Linked DNA regions of Canis lupus familiaris. The protein of the gene in region 1 purifies or fractionates together with the protein of each later gene. This does not show direct contact. Links are inferred from orthologs where the notes say so. Each region holds a gene or a part of one and is shown in the gene's direction. Other genes may lie near its edges.

The links.
Region 2: the proteins of CDK7 (region 1) and ERCC2 purify together in Homo sapiens (affinity purification with mass spectrometry; 10 studies listed by BioGRID and IntAct, counting the BioPlex papers as one, with this or other methods). This does not show direct contact. The link is inferred for Canis lupus familiaris from reciprocal best matches to the Homo sapiens genes CDK7 and ERCC2.

What each region holds. Positions count from the first base shown.
Region 1 is NC_049223.1:53,558,419-53,567,185, forward strand, and holds part of CDK7 (cyclin-dependent kinase 7), read left to right. Parts: intron 1-300; coding exon 301-368; intron 369-1,720; coding exon 1,721-1,789; intron 1,790-3,983; coding exon 3,984-4,094; intron 4,095-5,123; coding exon 5,124-5,242; intron 5,243-8,256; coding exon 8,257-8,356; intron 8,357-8,767. UniProt on the Homo sapiens protein: Serine/threonine kinase involved in cell cycle control and in RNA polymerase II-mediated RNA transcription. Cyclin-dependent kinases (CDKs) are activated by the binding to a cyclin and mediate the progression through the cell cycle.
Region 2 is NC_049222.1:110,881,948-110,891,433, forward strand, and holds the start of ERCC2 (general transcription and DNA repair factor IIH helicase subunit XPD), read left to right. Parts: upstream 1-4,105; 5' UTR 4,106-4,168; coding exon 4,169-4,173; intron 4,174-4,193; exon of another isoform or gene 4,194-4,212; intron 4,213-4,522; coding exon 4,523-4,622; intron 4,623-6,210; coding exon 6,211-6,288; intron 6,289-6,365; coding exon 6,366-6,428; intron 6,429-6,587; coding exon 6,588-6,701; intron 6,702-8,562; exon of another isoform or gene 8,563-8,809; intron 8,810-9,486. UniProt on the Homo sapiens protein: ATP-dependent 5'-3' DNA helicase. Component of the general transcription and DNA repair factor IIH (TFIIH) core complex, not absolutely essential for minimal transcription in vitro.

The sequences.
Region 1 (8,767 bases):
AAAGAGGAAGCTATTGACTTATTCCTTTAATGTTACACACTGACACATTGTTATTCCAGCAGTCTTCTCAAGTGATATGCTACAAAATGAATAATTATCATGGTCATTGTTAAGCTATTTTCAAAATAAAGCAATATAAAAGAAAACCAAATGTCAAACAATTTGTCCAATAGCCTGTATTTTTCTATGGAGTACTCACTGCCATTTCCTGAAAGACTAACTTGTCCCAAAAAATATGCTTGTAAGGAGATTTGAGATTTCAGAATTATTTTTCACATTTTGCTTTGCTTTTTCATCTAGGTATAAACAGAACAGCTTTAAGAGAGATAAAATTATTACAGGAGCTAAGCCATCCAAATATAATTGGTGTGAGTATGATATGAGTTGTTTCTGGGATCTGGGACCCTGCCATTTCTGAATGAGGTAGATATTGATTGAATGCTGAGCAAGATGAATTGTTTTAGGTTAGCCTTGCAAAAAAGCTTTACAGTTTATCAGGATAATATGTATTTTCTATTCTCTTTAGTCCTGTAGGCAGTTGTCTTAAAAGCATTAAATATTAAAACATTTAATATTGGCATATAGCCTAATTATGTCAAAAATCATTTTGAAGCCTAGAGAGCTTTAGCATGTATAAGACCTTGAGTAAGCTTCCCTATAACTCAGTGCCATAATTCTTACCTCATAGGGTTGTGACAAGACTAGTTGATTTTTTTTTTTTAAGATTTTATTTATTTGAGAGAGAGAGACAGAGAGAGAGAGACAGAGACAGACATCACAAGCAGGGAGATAGAGGGAGAAGCAGACTCCCCACTAAGTGGGGAGCCTGATGCAGGACTGGGCCCCAGGATCATGACCTGAGCCAAAGGTGGATACTTAACCAACTGAACCACCCAGGCACCCCAGACTAGTTGATTGAATGCATATAAAGTACCTGGAAATAGAGCCTGACATAGAGAATGCATATATTGAATGATAGCTGCCATTGCTGTTTATAGGATTTTCTTAAAAACTGAGCACAGAATTGAAGATTGAGGTGAGATTTTCAATTATTTGTTTCTTAAACATAGCTCTCAAAATTTGGGGGGCGAGCTTAAGTATTTAGTGACTTTTTAAAAATAGTAAAGTTGAGGCGCGCCTACGTGGCTTAGTCGATTTCGTTTCTGACTTTGGCTTAGGTCATGATCTCCAACTCCCGGGATCTCCTGGGATCAAGCCTGGAGTCTGGCTCTCTGCTCAGCAGGGACTCTGCTTGTCCCTCTGCCTCTGCCCTTCCCCTTGCTGTGCTCTCTGTCTCTTAAATATTCTTCTTCTTTTTTTTTTTTTTTTTTTAAGATTTTATTTATTTATTCATGAGAGACATAGAGAGAGAGGCAGAAACACAGGCAGAGGGAGAAGCAGGTTCCATGCAGGGAGCCCCTTGTGGGACTCATGGAACTTCAGGATCATGCCCTGAGCTGAAGGCAGACACTCAACCGCTGAGCCACCCAGGCGTCCCTCTCTTAAATCTTAAAAAAAAAAAAAAAAAGTTTTACACCTCAAATTACTAATTCCTAGCAAGAAAAAGGATAAATGTCAAATTTAATAAAATCAGATTTAACAGAGTATTATCAGCAGTCTTCATGCTTGTTTAAATTTTTAAAAATTAGTTGGTACAGTATTTTCAAGTACTTTATAGAAAATCACATTATTTATTTATTTTTTGAATTTTGCTTTGCAGCTCCTTGATGCTTTTGGGCATAAATCTAATATTAGCCTTGTCTTTGATTTTATGGAAACTGATCTAGAGGTAAGATTAAGATTCCTAAGAGATTTTTTTTCTCTTTTTATCAAAAGAGAACCTGTTTATTTCCTACTTTCGAAGGTACTGTTATTCAAAGGAATATTTAATTTTTTTGGAATGTGAACGTACTCCTAAGTAAAGGATCTTCTGAATCATTTAGCCGTATTCCCAGTGTTAGATACAGAGATTTGGATTTCAAAACATTTCTATCTACCAAGCTCCCTCTACCTTATTGACATTATTTTTAGAGAAATGAGTATTAGGCCCTTGAGAATTTAGAGTTTCTTTTCCATATTATCACAGAATATCATCCTTTTGACAGCCAAGTTTTTTTTTTGTTTGTTTGTTTTTTTTTGAGAAAATGAGATCTTAGGCTTTTCCTTAATACTAATTAAGGAACCTCGAAAACTAACAACAACTGGAATTCTCATACACCGCTGGTGAGCATGCAGAATCGTACAGCCAGTTTGGAAAATAGTTTGGCAGTTTCTTAAACAGTGAAATACACTGCTAAAGAATGATCTAGCAATATGACTGCTAGGTATTTAAGAGAAATAAAAATATGTCTACCCAGAAATTAATTGGTACACAGATGTTCACTTTTGTTCATTATTGCCCAAACTTGAAACAATCCAAATATCTTTCATCTAGTTAATATAGAAACAAACTGTGGTACATCTTTAAAATGGAATACTGTTTGGGGATAAAAAGAAATAAATTGCTCATATATGTATATAACAGTAGAGAGGAATCTCATTACATAGATTGTGCTAAATGAAAGAACTCAGGCTCAGTCCAGGCTGTGTATTATATGATTCCATTTATATGATGTTCTGGAAAAGGCAAGAACTAAAGAAACAGAAATCAGGTCAGTGGTGGTCAGAGTTGGGAGTAGAGGGAAGTATTGGGCATAGAGGGGCCTGGGGCGATTGGGGTATGGGTGAGAGTTAAAAGAACTCTATCTTGATTATGATAATGGTTACACAACTGGATGTCTTTGTTAAAACTCATGGAACTGTGCACTAGAAAGGGCATATTTTGCCTAAATCTGATTTTTTTTTTTTTTTAAGAAATGGGATTGTTCTCTTAATTTCTCTGTTACTTCATTATTAGTATATGAAAATGCAACAGATTTCTATGTATTGATTTGTGTCCTGCAACGTTACTGAATTCATTTATCAATTCTAGTAGTTTTTTGGTGGAGTCTTTAAGGTTTCTTATGTATAGTATCATGTCATCTGCAAATACCAAAAGTTTACTTCTTGCCAATTTGGATACCTTTTATCTAAATATGATTTCCTTTTTTTTTTTTTTTTTAAGATTTTATTTATTTATTCATGAGAGATGCAGAGACACAAGGCAGAGGGAGAAGCAGGCTTCATGCAGGGAGCCCGATATGGGGCTCAATCCCGGGACTCAAGGATCATGCCCTAGGTCGAAGGCAGGTGTTAAATCACTGAGCCATTCAGACTGCCCCTCTAAATAGGATTTCTAAAAAAAGAAAATGATAACTTCTAGCTAACATATAAGCTTAGGAATAAACTGGCTTTTTTTTTTTTTCAATAAACTGGCTTTAAGCACAGTTCTCAAATAATGCATGAGAACTCAGTTGTGCACTTTAACTCAGCTCTATTTTCTTTGTTATCTTCCTTCATGGGCATAATTTCTCAATATAGTGGCTTATATCCTTAGAGTTTAATAATCTGTAAGGAAAGAAGGTGCTTTGTTCCCCTTGATTCTAGAAGTATTTGGCCTGTTTGATTAGCTTGGATCACATGTCCAACTCTAAAGCAGTCTTCTGGACAGCAGGCTTGAGTATGGTGGTTGGCTATGCCTGGGTCATGTATCTGCCTCTAGAGGCCACAGGTAGTGGTCAGTCCTGTTTTAAACAGGTGGTTTCCCAAAGGAATGTTGAATGCTATTATCAGAAGGGCTGTACATCCTGGGGCAAGCGAAACAACAGATGTTCACCATGTTAATGCCTTTTAAACAATGAAGTAGAAGAGAAAAAGCCCCAGCAGATACTTTCCCTAACTGGAAAATTCCGTTTCTGGAAATTCTGACACTGCTTCCTAAGGAGAGTTAGGCAGTGTTTCTTCAGATTCTCCCGTATGATGGATAAATTCATTATATGTCTGTGTGTGATTCTATATGATGTAATTTAATTGGAATAATTGTATTTTATATACTGGATTTACAGGTTATAATAAAGGATAATAGTCTTGTGCTGACCCCATCACACATCAAAGCCTACATGTTGATGACTCTTCAAGGGTTGGAATATTTACATCAACACTGGATTCTACATAGGGTAAGGTTTTTAACCAATTATGATTGACTTTTTACATTTTAGTCAAGTTTTATGTAACCAGTTATTACATAAATATTTGGTCTAAATACGTATATTATTAAAAATAAAGCCGGACCATTTTATCCCGTCTTCCTCTGGGTGTTCCCTTCAGTTATTCCACCAGGTGGTGCTAATGAGGACTGTAAAATACTATGTAAAATTTAGAAATGCAAGAGGCCCGGTTCTTCATTTTTTTCCATAGATGAATAGCTAATTTGCTGTGTCACCTGACCGAGGTTATAGTTTTTTCAAGGTCAGTAGCTGATAACCAACAGAGTATTAGAATCTAGGTCTTTTGGCTTTAAGTCCAGTATTCTTTATGCTATACTGTTGTGACAGGAAAAAAAAATACAGTGAGAGACTGGGTTAAATTATACATTGCTAAAATATTTTTAGAACAGCAATATTTCAGTAACTCTAAAATTCTGTGAAGTAATGAAATAAAGTTTCTGAAATGATTGAGTCAGTATTAGAAATATTTAGCTATTGAAACAAGGCTGACACTCTCTATAGGTAGATATTTTTAGGTACTCTATTTAGATAAATAGCTAAGAATATATAATTTATAGTCAGTAATTCTCGTACCTTAAACTTGGAATCCCTTTTAGGTTATTGCTAATATCTTTTTAGTATAGATTTTGAGGAATATGTTCCTCATTCTCTCTAAATGCATAATATTTTTATTTACTGAAGTTGCTGTGTATTACTGTTACTAAATTAATAGCAGCAATTATTTATTGAATTCCTCATTGTCATAGTAGGCTCGTTACAAAAAACACTAAATTTAATCCTCACAACAACCCTGTGAAGTAGGTAAATCCAAGGTCTCACTAAGTAATAAAACCAGTCTTTTGCTGTGGTAAGATTTTATATCTGATATGTTTAAATTTGAGGTTTTACCCTGTTTTGTTTTGTCAAGCCAACTAATTGTATTTTTATGGTATTCTCTCCCTCCTGCTTACTTGTTTATTTAAAACCTCCATGATACAGGATCTAAAACCAAACAACTTGTTGCTAGATGAAAATGGTGTTCTAAAACTAGCAGATTTTGGCCTGGCCAAATCATTTGGGAGCCCCAATAGAGCTTATACACATCAGGTTGTAACCAGGTAAGAATCACTTAAAAAACTGAAAGTTTATATTTTGCAGGATTAGTTTTTGTTTTTTTATTATTTTTTATTTTTTATTTTTATTTTTTTTTAGTTTTTGTTTTTTTAAAGTAAGCTTTTTGTAGGCCTAATAACATGGGGCTGAACTCAGGACCCTGAGATCTTGAGTCACATGCTCTACTCACTGAGCCAGCCAGGTGCCCCTATTGTATAGATATGAATCCCAAATGAGCATCGTTTGGCTTCTCTGAAATATCCCAGTAGAGTTAGGAATTGTTGGTGGTGTTTTACTAAAAATATGATTATGTTATGTTTATTTAACCACAATGAAATAATTACAGACATTTTTTCAGATGGAGTTGAACTAACTCAGTTTTCAGGCATTTGTCTAATAACTTTTGGGACTAATTTATACTACTTCTACAGTTTAGTTAGGTAAGTTGGAACTATAGTGGCTATTCTTTTACATATTCACCTGATTTGGGAGACCTGTGTTTATTTTATTGGTCAGTCACTGATTTATTTCATGTTTTATTTCACTCTGTGTGAATGAAAATGGTCTAAATAGAGCAACCCTGTCGGGACCTCTCTCACCCCTGAGAACTTTTTCTGTATTTAATAAAACTGTTACTGCTTTATTAAAAAAAAAAAAAAAGAAGAAGAAAGAAAAGTTTCTGAATAAAGCAGTGCATTGATATTTTGGTTTATCTTATTATTTGTACTTATGTTTTCTTTTATACTTTCTATGTAAAAAATAAAAAAAATCACATGAAATATATATGGACAGTAGGTTTTATAATTCTAGTCAGAATGTTTTTTTTTTTTTTAAGATTTTATTTATTTATTCATGAGAGATACACAGAGAGAGGCAGAGACATAAGCAGAGGGAGAAGCAGGCTCCATGGAGGGAGCCCAAAGAGGGACCCAGTCCCCAGAACCCAGGATCATGCTCTGGGCCAAACACATGTAGGCCTCAACAACTGAGCCACCCAGGCATCCCCAAATGTCATTTATTTATTTCCAAGATTCTTTAAGGATCTGAGAAGATCTTTAAATATTCTGTTCTTTTTAATAACTTTGTCACCTGGGGCACCTAAGTGGCTCAGTCTCAGTTAAGTGTCTGATTCTTGATTTTGGCTCAGGTTGGGAACTTAGGGTTGTGAGATCAAGCCCTGAGCCCTGCTTTGGGCTCTACCCTCAGTGGGTAGACTGCTTGGGAGTCTCTCTCTCCCTCTGCCCTACCCCTTGAGGTTTCCCCTCTCTCTCTCTCTGCCCCTCTCCCTACTTGTGCATGCATGCACGTGTGCGAGCTTGCTGTCTCTCAAAAGTAAATAAGTAAATCTCTCAAAAAAAAAGATAAATAACTTCGCACTTTCAAAATAGATCTCATTGGGTATCAATCACCTGAGCCTTAAGTAAGAAGTAAAGGATATAAGTGGTTATTGATGTACTTGATGGAGAGATACAGCACATTATTTAGGAACTCTTGGAACTGAAGAAAATGGACCCACGTATAAGTATTGTATACCAGTGCTTTATTTTTTTTTTCTTTTTTTAAAAGATTTTATTTATTTATTCATGAGAGAGAACAGAGAGAGAGAGGCAGAGACACAGGCAGAGGGAGAAGCAGGCTCCATGCAGGGAGCCCAATGTGGGATTCGATCTCGGGTCTCCAGGATCATGCCCTGGGCCAAAGGTGCTGCTAAACCGCTAAGCCACCCCGGGATGCCCTACCAGTGTTTTTCATATACCAGTTTCTGGTGTGTGTGTGTGTATGTATATATATGTGTGTGTATATATATATATATATATATGTGTGTGTGTGTGTATTACCAAGTGCTAGTAATAGGTCAAGTTAAAATGAAGACTGAAAATTGTTAAATTATGATTTGGACATCACTAATCACCTTGACAAGAGCAATTTTGGTGGAGTAGTAGGATTAAAGCCTAATTGAAAGTTTTTTTTGTTCTTGTTTAAATTTAATTTTAATTTAAAACATTTTTATCTTAAGTAGACTTGCCACCCAATGTGGGGCTCGAACTCATGACGCCAAGATCAAGAGTCACATGCTCTATCAACTGAGCCAGCCACCCGCTGAAAGAGTTTAAAAAGATAAGAGAATAGTAATTGGAGACAGTAAAAACAAGCAGCTTTTCAGAATAACCAGAGAATGTAGAGATAGCTGCTAGAGGAAGTTGGGCCTAAAGAAGTTTTTGTTTGCTACTTTAATTTTTTGGTTTATTTTTTAAGACTGAAGAAATAATGGTATGTTTGTACGTTAGTGGGAAAAGTCTAGTGAAGAAGAAAACATTGATATTGGAAGAAGAGAATTTCAGTATCTTTGGAAATAGGCAAGAGAGCATGGTACCTAGTGCCCCAAGTTGACATACTGGCATTACAACAGTCCAGGACAGTTCATCTGTAGTTACAGATGAGAAGGCAGATGGTATAAATACAAATGACCATAGGTGAGTCCATGGAATTGTTTTTAATTTTTCTTTCTTTCTATTACTTGGATTCTTTTTAGTAAAGCTGGAAATAAGGTCATTGGCTTAGAGGATGAATGGTGTTGTGAGTTTCTGGAGGAAGTAGGCATTAATCATCAAGGAATGGGAGAGTAAATGGACCAAGGATGTGTTTAATTTCTAGTATGAAATTGCTTGGTTTTATAGCTAGTTTATCTTGAGTTAATCTATCCCTAAAAGTGAAGTTGATCAGTAGGATGATGTTTTGCTTAGGAGTTTTCTACAAGAAACACTTCAATAATTCCATTTTAAAATTACAGTTTTTTGGGGTGCCTAGGTGGCTGAGTCAGTTAAAGCATCTGCCTTTGGCTCAGGTCATGATACCAGGGTCCTGGGTTCAAGTCCCACATTGGACCCATGCTCTGTGGGGAGCCTTCTCCCTCTGCCTGCCACTCCTCCTTGTGTTTTCTCTGTCAAATAAGTAAATAAAATCTTTAAAAAAAAATAAAAGTAAACATAAAATTACAATCTTGCTTTTTGTTCTTCAGATGGTATCGGGCCCCTGAGTTACTCTTTGGAGCTAGAATGTATGGTGTAGGTGTCGACATGTGGGCTGTTGGCTGTATATTAGCAGAGTTGCTTCTAAGGGTAAGTCTAGGATTGATGTATATACTACAATATTGTAATAGGTATTTGTATAACTTGTGTAAGATTATCTTCCCATAGATAATTCTCAGAGAGGAGCACTGGTTTTCCAATAAAAAGCCAACAATAGACCAGTTAAAAAAAAAAAAAAGCTACCTCGGGGCACCTGGGTGGCTCAATTGGTTAAGTATCTGCCTTTGGCTCAGGTCATGATCCCAGGGTCCTGGGATTGAGCCCTGCATTGGGCTCCCTGCTCTGCTCAGCAGAGAGCCTGCTCCTCCCTCATCTGCTCTCCTTGTGTGCGTGCTCTTTCTCTGTTGCTTGTGCGCGCGTGCTCCCTCACTCACTCTGTCAAATAAATTTTAAAAATCTTAAAAAAAAACAAAGCCACCTCCTCCATTGAAACTTTATTGG
Region 2 (9,486 bases), on another chromosome or scaffold:
TCTTGCCAGCAACCACCTGGTGAGGTTAGCAGTGGATTGTTTCCCAGATGAGCTGGGATGTCTGCAGCTGTGTGCAATTCCTGACCTACAGAAACCGTGAGATAATAAATGGTGTTGTTCTGGACTATTACACTTCGGGGTGATTTGTTATACAGATTAGCCAACTTGTGCAGGTCTGGTGCCTGCGTGGAAGAGTCAGGAAGCCAAGTGTGGCTGGGAGGAGTAGCTTGGGGGCAGGGGGAACAGTAAGAAATGATGTCAGGCAGGGAGCAGAACGCTTAGTATGACGCCTGGCTCATGTCAGTCCAATACTCAATTTCATTTTATTATATTCTTGATTTTAAGACGTCCTTTTGAGACGCCTGGGTGGCTCAGTGGTTGACATCTGCCTTTGGCTCGAGTCGTGATCCTGGGGTCCTGGGATCGAGTCCTGCATCAGGCTCCCCACAGGGAGTCTGCTTCTTTCTCCCTCTGCCTATGTCTCTGCCTCTCTCTTTGTGTCTCTTATGAATAATAATAATAATAAAAAAGACATCTTTCTTCCCCGTCTCCCCGCTTGAGCAAAGTAATCACGGATAGGCTGGGGGAGCCCAGAGAAAGTGCCTGGCCCAGACTGGGGGGGGTCAGAGAGGGCTTCCTGGAGGAGGGATATCTGAGACCTGGAGGAGGAGGGAGGGCAGGATAAGGTGGGGGAGATGGCACAGGACACCATCAGAGACAAGTAGAAAGCACGAGAGTGAGCAGCAGGATGGGGCTGGTTACTGCATGGGGGGCACAAACAGTGGGAAAGCATTACCATGGTTTACTCCCAATGATCTGAAGTCATGCTGTGCAGGTTCTCTGTTTTATTCTCCTTGGACGTGATACTGCAAGGAGCATCAGTGTATGTGTAGCTTTGGTTCAGGCTCAGGGTCATGTCAACAAGCTCATGAACTGGCTTGACCCCTGTCCCCACCATCAGCACCACTCTGAATCCTACTGGCTCCCTAAGACCTATTTTTAGAGACTTTGTCTAACTTTGGAAGTATGTTATCATTCATATGACTGTATAGCAAATGTCATTTGTTGATATAAGCACCAGTTATTCCCATCCCACGCCTATCCCAGCTCTGCTCACTGTGGGTCATCACCATCGGGTTGGTTCTGTCTCCTCCACTGGGCTATGTGCCCCAGGAGGACAGGGCTGAGGCTGTCTTGGTCACCGCTGGGTGCCTTTTGCCTTCGCAGCTCAGAATGTACACAAAGTAGGGGCTCAGGTAATATAGGATGGGTGAATGAATTAACAAATGAAAGAGCAGATTTTTTTTATTTAAAGATTTTATTTATTTATTCATGAGAAAGAGAGAGAGAGAGAGAGAGAGGCAGAGACATAGGGAGAGGGAGAAGCAGGCTCCATGCAGGGAGCCTGATGTGGGACTCCATCCCAGGACCGCAGGTTCATGACCTGAGCCAAAGACAGATGCTCAACCACTGAGGCACCCAGGAGTCCCAAGAGAAGATTTTGAAGGAAGTCACAACCTTGGGTGGCCCACTCCCTCCTGCCTTGTGTGTCTCTTGCTGAACCCCGTAGTCATGTTAATGAAGCTCCTTCTCTAATCTCAGCTCATCGGAGAATTCAAATTCAAGCCTCATTCTCCTTCTCTGCCCAGACCAGCTCCAGAAACTATCACGGCACAGACATAGACACACAGATACCGGAATAAAACGGGCTCGGAGCAACTCACCTCACCTGAGACTGCTTTTTCATCTGTGAAATGGGGGTAATAAAATCACGTGATTTATAGGACCACCACGAGGATTCAATGACATAATTCTCTCCACTACCCTAGCCTGAGCCACTGACTGGTTCTGTTTGTCAGTCTTACTCCTTCTGGTTCATGTGACACAAGGCACCCCCAGTGACTTATGGGTTCAGAATGCAAATTTGACCATTCCCCCTTCCACCCCCACCTTCCACCCTCGCTTATTTTGCCCTTTCAACAGATATTTGTTGATGCTCCATTGTGTGACAGGCACAGCAGCAAGGACCACAGATGCAGGAGTGAGTAAAATGGACAAAACCCCTGTCCTTATGGAGCTGACCTTCTAAACAAAATAAATAAGTCAGGGGCACCTGGGTGGCTCAGTTGGTTAAGCATCTGCCTTTGGCTCAGGTCATGATCCCAGGGTCCTTCTCCCACTTCTCCCACTTGTATTCTCTGTCAAATGAATAAATAAAATCTTTTTAAAAAGTCAAATATTTGGTATGTCAGATTGTTAGATGGGCTCTGAAGAAAAACAAAGCAGGCAAAGGAACTGCAGTGGGTAGTGTATGAGTCGGTGTGTGTGTGTGTGTGTGTGTGTAGGGGGTTGAATTTAATTTGGTGCCACTAAGGAGGTGACATTGGAGGCAGAACCTGAAGGATATGAGGAGGTCCACCCATGTGGATGTCAGGGGAAAGAGCATTCCAGGCAGATGATGTAGCAGGTGCAAAGGCCTAAAGTAGGATGTGCCTAGAGTGTTCTGGAAACAGCACAGAGGATGATGGGACTGAAATAGAATGAGCTAAGCAAGAGAGGAGGGGATCACAGAGGTAAGGTAGGCTGGTGTGGGGTGAGGAGGGGGTATGCTGGTTAGGATTCTGAAGGTGAATCCTAAGAATCTTTGGATCTTTGGCCTGGCCCTATCGCTCGCTCCCTCCAGCTTCATCCTTCAACTATACAGGCTTCCCTTCAGCGCTTGGACACATCAGCTTTCTTCTGGCGGCAGAGCTTTTGTATACAATGTTCCCTCTGGCTTGCCCTTTCTCACATCTATCTCCTTTGGTTGGTTGGTTCCTTCTCATACTTTCTATGTCTACTCAAGCCTCATTTCCTCAAGGAAGGCTTTTCTGACCACTCCACCCACCCTCCTTTGGTTGACAGCATGTTTCCCATACGTAGCCCTTATGGTTTTCAGAATTTTCCCATCAAAGTACTTGTCATACTTGTAACCATATATTTACCTGTATGTTTAATGTCCGTTCTTTGAGGACATGAGCAGGGGCTGTCTACTGCCTAGCACAGTAGAGATCCCATATCTATTTGATGAACAATCACATAAAAGCTACTAGCTACTGAATGCTGAGGATGCGCTAAACCCAATTTTAACTGTTTTATGAGGGTTAATTTAAGTAAGCATCATCTACATTGTAGGTAATCTTTTTTTTAAAGATTATTTATTTATTTATTTATAGAGACACACACACACACACACAGAGGCAGAGACACAGGCAGAGGGAGAAGCAGGCACCATGCAGGAAGCCTGACGTGGGACTCCATCCTGGGTCTCCAGGATCACACCCTGGGCTGCAGGCGGCGCTAAACCGCTGCGCCACCGGGGCTGCCCCTGTAGGTAATCTTTTAAAAAAATATTTTTTACTTTTTTTTTTGTAACGTAAGGTCTGTGCCCAATGTGGGGCTTAAACTCATGACTCTGAGATCAAAAGTCCCCTACTTTACCGACTAACGCAGCCAGGTGCCCTCATGTTATAGATAATCTATTGTTCCTACTTTGTGGATGACAAGTTAATTTGACCAAGGTCACACAGCTGGTAGACACTGGGGCCAGGATTTGGACCCAGGCATCCTGGTTCCAGAGTCCACACCTTAGCCACCAAGCGACAGTGCCTTTGCATGACTGCCTGATAAGGACAGTGTCTGTCTGGCAAACCATGGGCGTTCACCAAATAGGAGGAGTTATTTATCCCAGAGAAGTCTAGGACACAGCAGGCATTTTACAGGTGCACGTTAGTCTGGTGCGATGAAGCCATTCCTAACTCGTGGGTTCCGTAAATGTCCTCAATTTCCTTGTCGGTTCTTTTAGAGGATCCGCTGCCAGGTGATCTGGGCAGACGCCAGAAGACCAAATCCTAATGAATGGGATCGATGATCTCGGTTCTCTTCCTTCAAGTGTTGCTCTGGGTACTCTGCGATCCTCAGCGACGCCTCCGCACCTCTTCTCCCGGGAGCCCGCCCCCGCATTGCTGTGCGCATGCGCATCAGCCGGCCCCAGTAGAGTGACAGGCAGGATCAGCCAATGGAGTCGTGAGAAAGGTGGAGCGGCACCTCGAGGACGCCCCACGGGTCCTGCTTTCTGAATATTTATGAGGGAGGCGGGTCGACGCCGCTTCTCGCAGCGCCCGGCGCCATGAAGTGAGGGGGGTCTGGGGTTCGCCCCTCGCGAGCCGGCTGGTGGGGGTCGGGCGGGGGGCAGGCTAAGAAGTTGGGGAGGCCCAGGCGGCGCTGCCGGGGTCCCGGCGGGGCGAGGGGGTGCTGGGGGAGTGGGGTGGGGATCGCCGCGGGGACCCGCGGGGCGGTAACGGGGACGGTCAGCGAGGTGATGCCGGAGGGACCCGAGGCTCCTAGGAAACTGGGGGGCGCCCGGGTGGTGGTGGGGGGGCCGGCGCCCGCAGGTGACCCCTCCGGGCCCCACGGCAGGGGAGCGTGGCGGCTGGGGAGGGGCTGCGGGACGGGGCACTGACCCGGCCGCCCCCGCCGCCAGGCTCAACGTGGACGGGCTGCTGGTCTACTTCCCTTACGACTACATCTACCCGGAGCAGTTCTCCTACATGCTGGAGCTCAAGCGCACGCTGGACGCCAAGGTGGGGGCCCGGCCCGCTCCCAGACCTCCGGTTACCTAAAAGGATAGTTCGTGATAGCAGCACCTGACGTTTATCAAAGGCTGCGCGCCTGGGAGCCGGCTGTCTGGGTTGGAATCCTCGACCCACAGCTGTGTGCCCTTGGGTGAAGCCCTTCGTCTCCCTGTTTCACAGTTTTCACCTCTGTAAAACGGGCTTAGTATGATTGCCTACTCTCGGAGGTTACGGGGAAGGTTATGTGGGTTAATTTCAGTAACTTAACCCGGGATGATTTTGACACCCCCCCCCCCCCCCCCCCCCCGCCGCAGAGACCGTGCCTTGGTTGTCATATTATTGGAGTGGAATGCTAGTGGCATCCCGTAGTTAGAGACCATGGACACTGCTAAACATCCTGCAGTGCGCAGTTCAGCCCCCCACAACCGGGTATTATCTGGCCCCCAAAGGTAGAGCCTAGGTTAAGAAAACTGGATGGAATCTTAGAAGTGGTGCCAGGCACAGAGTAAGTGCTGTAACTTATTTGCTAAGTTAAAGAAAAAAAATGGATTGCTACAAATCAGTTATTTTGCCAAATATTCAACCCTCAGTTTCTCATTAGTCCTTAGTCATGATCTGAAGAAGTACTTATGAGCCCAGTTTTATTTATTTTTTTAGTTTTAACTTTTTAAAAAAAAAAAGATTTTATTTAATCATGAGAGACAGAGATCTCAGAGAGAGGCACAGGCAGAGGGAGAAGCAGGCTCCATGCAGGGAACCTGATGTGGGACTGGATCCTGGGTCTCCAGTGTCATGCCCTGGGCTGAAGGTGGCGCTAAACCGCTGAGCCACCAGGGCTGCCCTAAAATGTTTTCTTTTTTTTTTTTTTTTTAATATTTTAATTATTTGAGAGAGAGAGAGGAGAGAGCACACACCCAAGCACGGGGGAGGGCAGAGGGAGAGGGAGAAGTAGGCTCCGCACTGAGCAGGGATGAGGGGCTGTATCCCAGGACCCTGGGATCTTGACCTGAGCTGAAGTCAGATGCTTAACTGACTTAGCAACCCAGGTGCCCCTAAAGTTTTTTTTTTTTATTTTTTTTTTATTTTTAAAGACAATTATTATTATTATTTTTTTTACGATTTTATTTATTTATTCATAGAGACCTAGAGAGAAAGAGAGAGAAAGGCAGAGGGAGAAGCAGGCCTCATGCAGGGAGCCCGACGCGGGACTCGATCCCGGGTCTCCAGGATCACACCCCGGGCTTCAGGCGGCGCCAAACTGCTGCGCCACCGGGGCTGCCCTAAAGTTTGTTTTTAAAGTAATCTCTACACCTGACATGGGGCTTGAACTTGAAAACCTGAGATCAAGAGTCACATGCTCTTCCGATTGAGCCAGCTAGGAATCCCTTGGCCCATTTTAGAGGTGAGGTGAGGCCAGATAGGTGAAGGTACTTGCCTAAGACCACTCAACAATGAGGTGGCAAAAGTGGGGTTCAAACCCATTGCCCCTGGGGCCTAGCTTTTTACCTGCTGTTGTCTCTATATTTCAAGATGGTGGCATTCTGGGAGTGGTCCCCAGAGTTTGTATCCCTGAAGATCTGTCTCTCTCAACACTTAGGGTCATGGAGTCCTGGAGATGCCCTCAGGCACTGGGAAGACAGTGTCCCTGTTGGCACTGATCATGGCATACCAGAGGGTAAGTGCCCCCTGGGCCCAGGGAGGGAAGCAGAGTAAAGGGGTCCCAACAGGGGCTGAGCTCATTGTCACTGGCAGGCATATCCACTGGAAGTGACTAAACTCATCTACTGCTCAAGAACTGTGCCTGAGATTGAGAAGGTGAGCCAGGGCCATCCTGGGGCTCCGCCACTCCCACAGGACTTGCTGGACCCCGGGTGGTTGCCCTCATAGCTTTCAGGGGGTGTTGGGAAAGCTGGGGAAGGACCAGGCTGGGCAGGGTCTTATGCTGGAGTCCCCCTCCATCCTTGACTGGAACAGGTCATTGAAGAGCTGCGAAAGTTGCTCAACTTCTATGAGAAGCAGGAGGGTGAGAAGCTGCCATTTTTGGGGCTTGCTCTGAGCTCCCGGAAGAACCTGTGTATTCATCCTGAGGTGCGTGCCCATTTCTCCCCTTGCCCTAAGCCTCCATCCAACCAGAGTCCTAAATCCCCAAGACCAGATCTCTCAGACAGTCACAGACTTCTCACACATCAAATTCTGACTCCTGATGAGGTGGCCCAAACAAACACACCTTTTCCCCAGCCTTAGAGAAGTTAAAAAGGCAGTTCCTGGAGTCTTGCACTCCAGCTTGTTTGGCTTTGAAACTTAATAGTTGTGTATTCTTAGGTGATTTTTATAGTGGAGCTTCAGTCTTCCTGTCTGTAATATGGGGATAATTACCTGCTTTATACAGTTGATAAGACTGGACAAGAGGAGAGAGGGTGAGATGGGCAAAGGGGGTCAAAATGTACAAACTTCCAGTTATAAAACAAATTGGTATGGGATGTATTGTACAGCATGGTGACTATAGTTAATACTCTATTGTATATCTGAAAGTCACTAAAAAAGTAGGTCTTAAAAATTCTCATCATACGCAGATGGCTGTATGGCTCAGTAAGTTAATCATCTGGCTTTTTTTTTTTTTTTTTTAAAGATTTTTATTTATTTATTCATGAGAGACACACACAGAGAGAGAGGCAGAGACACAGACAGAGGGAGAAGCAGGCTCCATGCAGGGAGCCCAATGCAGGACTCGATCCCGGGTCTCCAGGATCATGCCCTGGGCTGAAGGCAGGCGCTAAACCACTGAGCCACCCACGGATCCCCTGGCTTTTTTTTTTTTTTTAAGATTTTATTTATTTATTCATAAGAGACACACAGAGAGGCAGAAACAGGCAGAGGGAGAAGCAGGCTCCATGCAGGAAACCCGATATAGGACTTGATCCCAGGACCCGGGGATCACTCTTGATTTCAGCTCGGGTCATGATCTCAGGGGTCTTGGGATTGAGCCCCACATTGGGCTCTATGCTCAGTAGGGAGTCTGCTTCAGGATTCCCTCTCTTCTCTGCCCTCTTTCCTACTCGTGTTCTCTGTCTCTGTCTTCATCTCTCTCTCTAAAAATAATTTAAAAAGTAAAAAGAGTTCTCATCGTAAGAAATTGTGGGGTGCCTGGCAGGTTCATTTGGTAGAGCATGCGATGCTTCATTTCCAGATCATGAGTTTAAGCCCCGTGTTGGGTGTAGAGCTTACTTCAAAAAAGAAAAAAAGAGGAAAAAAATTGTAACTCTGTGGTGATGGATACTAACTAGCCTTAACTGTGGTGGTCATTTTGCAATATTTGTGAGTACTGAATCATTATGTTGTACATCTGCAAGTAATACAGTGTTTTTTTTTTTTTTTTTTTAGATTTTATTTATTTATTCATGATAGTCACAGAGAGACAGAGAGGCAAAGACACAGGCAGAGGGAGAAGCAGGCTCCATGCAGGGAGCCCGACGTGGGATTCGATCCTGGGTCTCCAGGATCGCGCCCCGGGCCAAAGGCAGGCGCCAAACCGCTGCGCCACCCAGGGATCCCAATACAGTGTTTCATATCCATTTATATCTTGATAAGTAAAAAGATTGGGTGAGAAAATGCATGTATAGCCCTAAGCATGTACAAAATAGTAAAACAACATTAGAAATTATCGTGATACTAATATATATAATAACATATGACACATAGAATATTGGTATTAAATTATGTTACAAAACTACGGTAACTCACGGAAGATATATTCTATAACATGAATTGTAAGAATATGAGAAACGGTGGATGTGATGGGTGATAATTATAGTAGCACAGGCCTTGGCAGGTGATGAAAAGAGAAGGGAGAGGGAGGGTCAGCAGCCTCAGAGCCTGCCCCTTGGTGAAGGCAAAGGTTTTGTTGTGAGAAAGGACAGTCCTGGGCTGTGAGAGTGTCACCCATAGAACCTCGGAGGGGGCAGGGCAGGGCAAGGGCTCTCAAACCATTCCATAGAACCTCCTCTGATTCTTAGATTTGCCAAGGTTCTGGGTGTTTTGGCGTTTAGAAGGATGAAGCAGTTATCCTTAATCTACATGCTAAACATTCTTTAAGGCTTGATTTTTTTTTTTTTAATCCGGTAAAATTGACATATAATGTTAGTTTCAGGTGTATAGTGTAATGATTCGGTATTTGTATATATTGCAAAACGATCACGGTAAGTCTAGTTAATATCTGTCACTTAACATAGTTACAAAAATTGTTTTTCTTATAAGGAGAACTTTTTTTTTTTTTAAATTTTTTTTTTAAATTTTTTTTTATTTATTTATGATAGGCACACAGTGAGAGAGAGAGAGGCAGAGACACAGGCAGAGGGAGAAGCAGGCTCCATGCACCGGGAGCCCGATGTGGGATTCGATCCCGGGTCTCCAGGATCGCGCCCTGGGCCAAAGGCAGGCGCCAAACCGCTGCACCACCCAGGGATCCCTATAAGGAGAACTTTTAAGATCTCCCTTAGGAACTTACAAATGTGCATTGTGGTATTATGAACTATAGCTCCCATGCTGTTTGTTGCATTACATCCCTAGGACTTAATTATTTTATAACTGGAAGTTTGTACTTTTTGATCCCCTTCACCCTTACCCCCTGACCTCTGACAACCACCAATTTGTTTTCTGTATTATTTTTTTTAAGATTTTATTTATTTTTTTCTTTTTTTTTTTATTATTTTTTTTTTGTGGAGGGCCAGGTGCGCCTGTGCAGCTGGAGCCCCCCCAAGATTTTATTTTATTTTTTAATTTTTATATTTTATTCTTTATTTATTCATGAGAGAGCGAGAGAGGCAGAGACACAGGCACAGGAAGAAGCAGGCTCCATGCAGGGAGCCTGATGTGA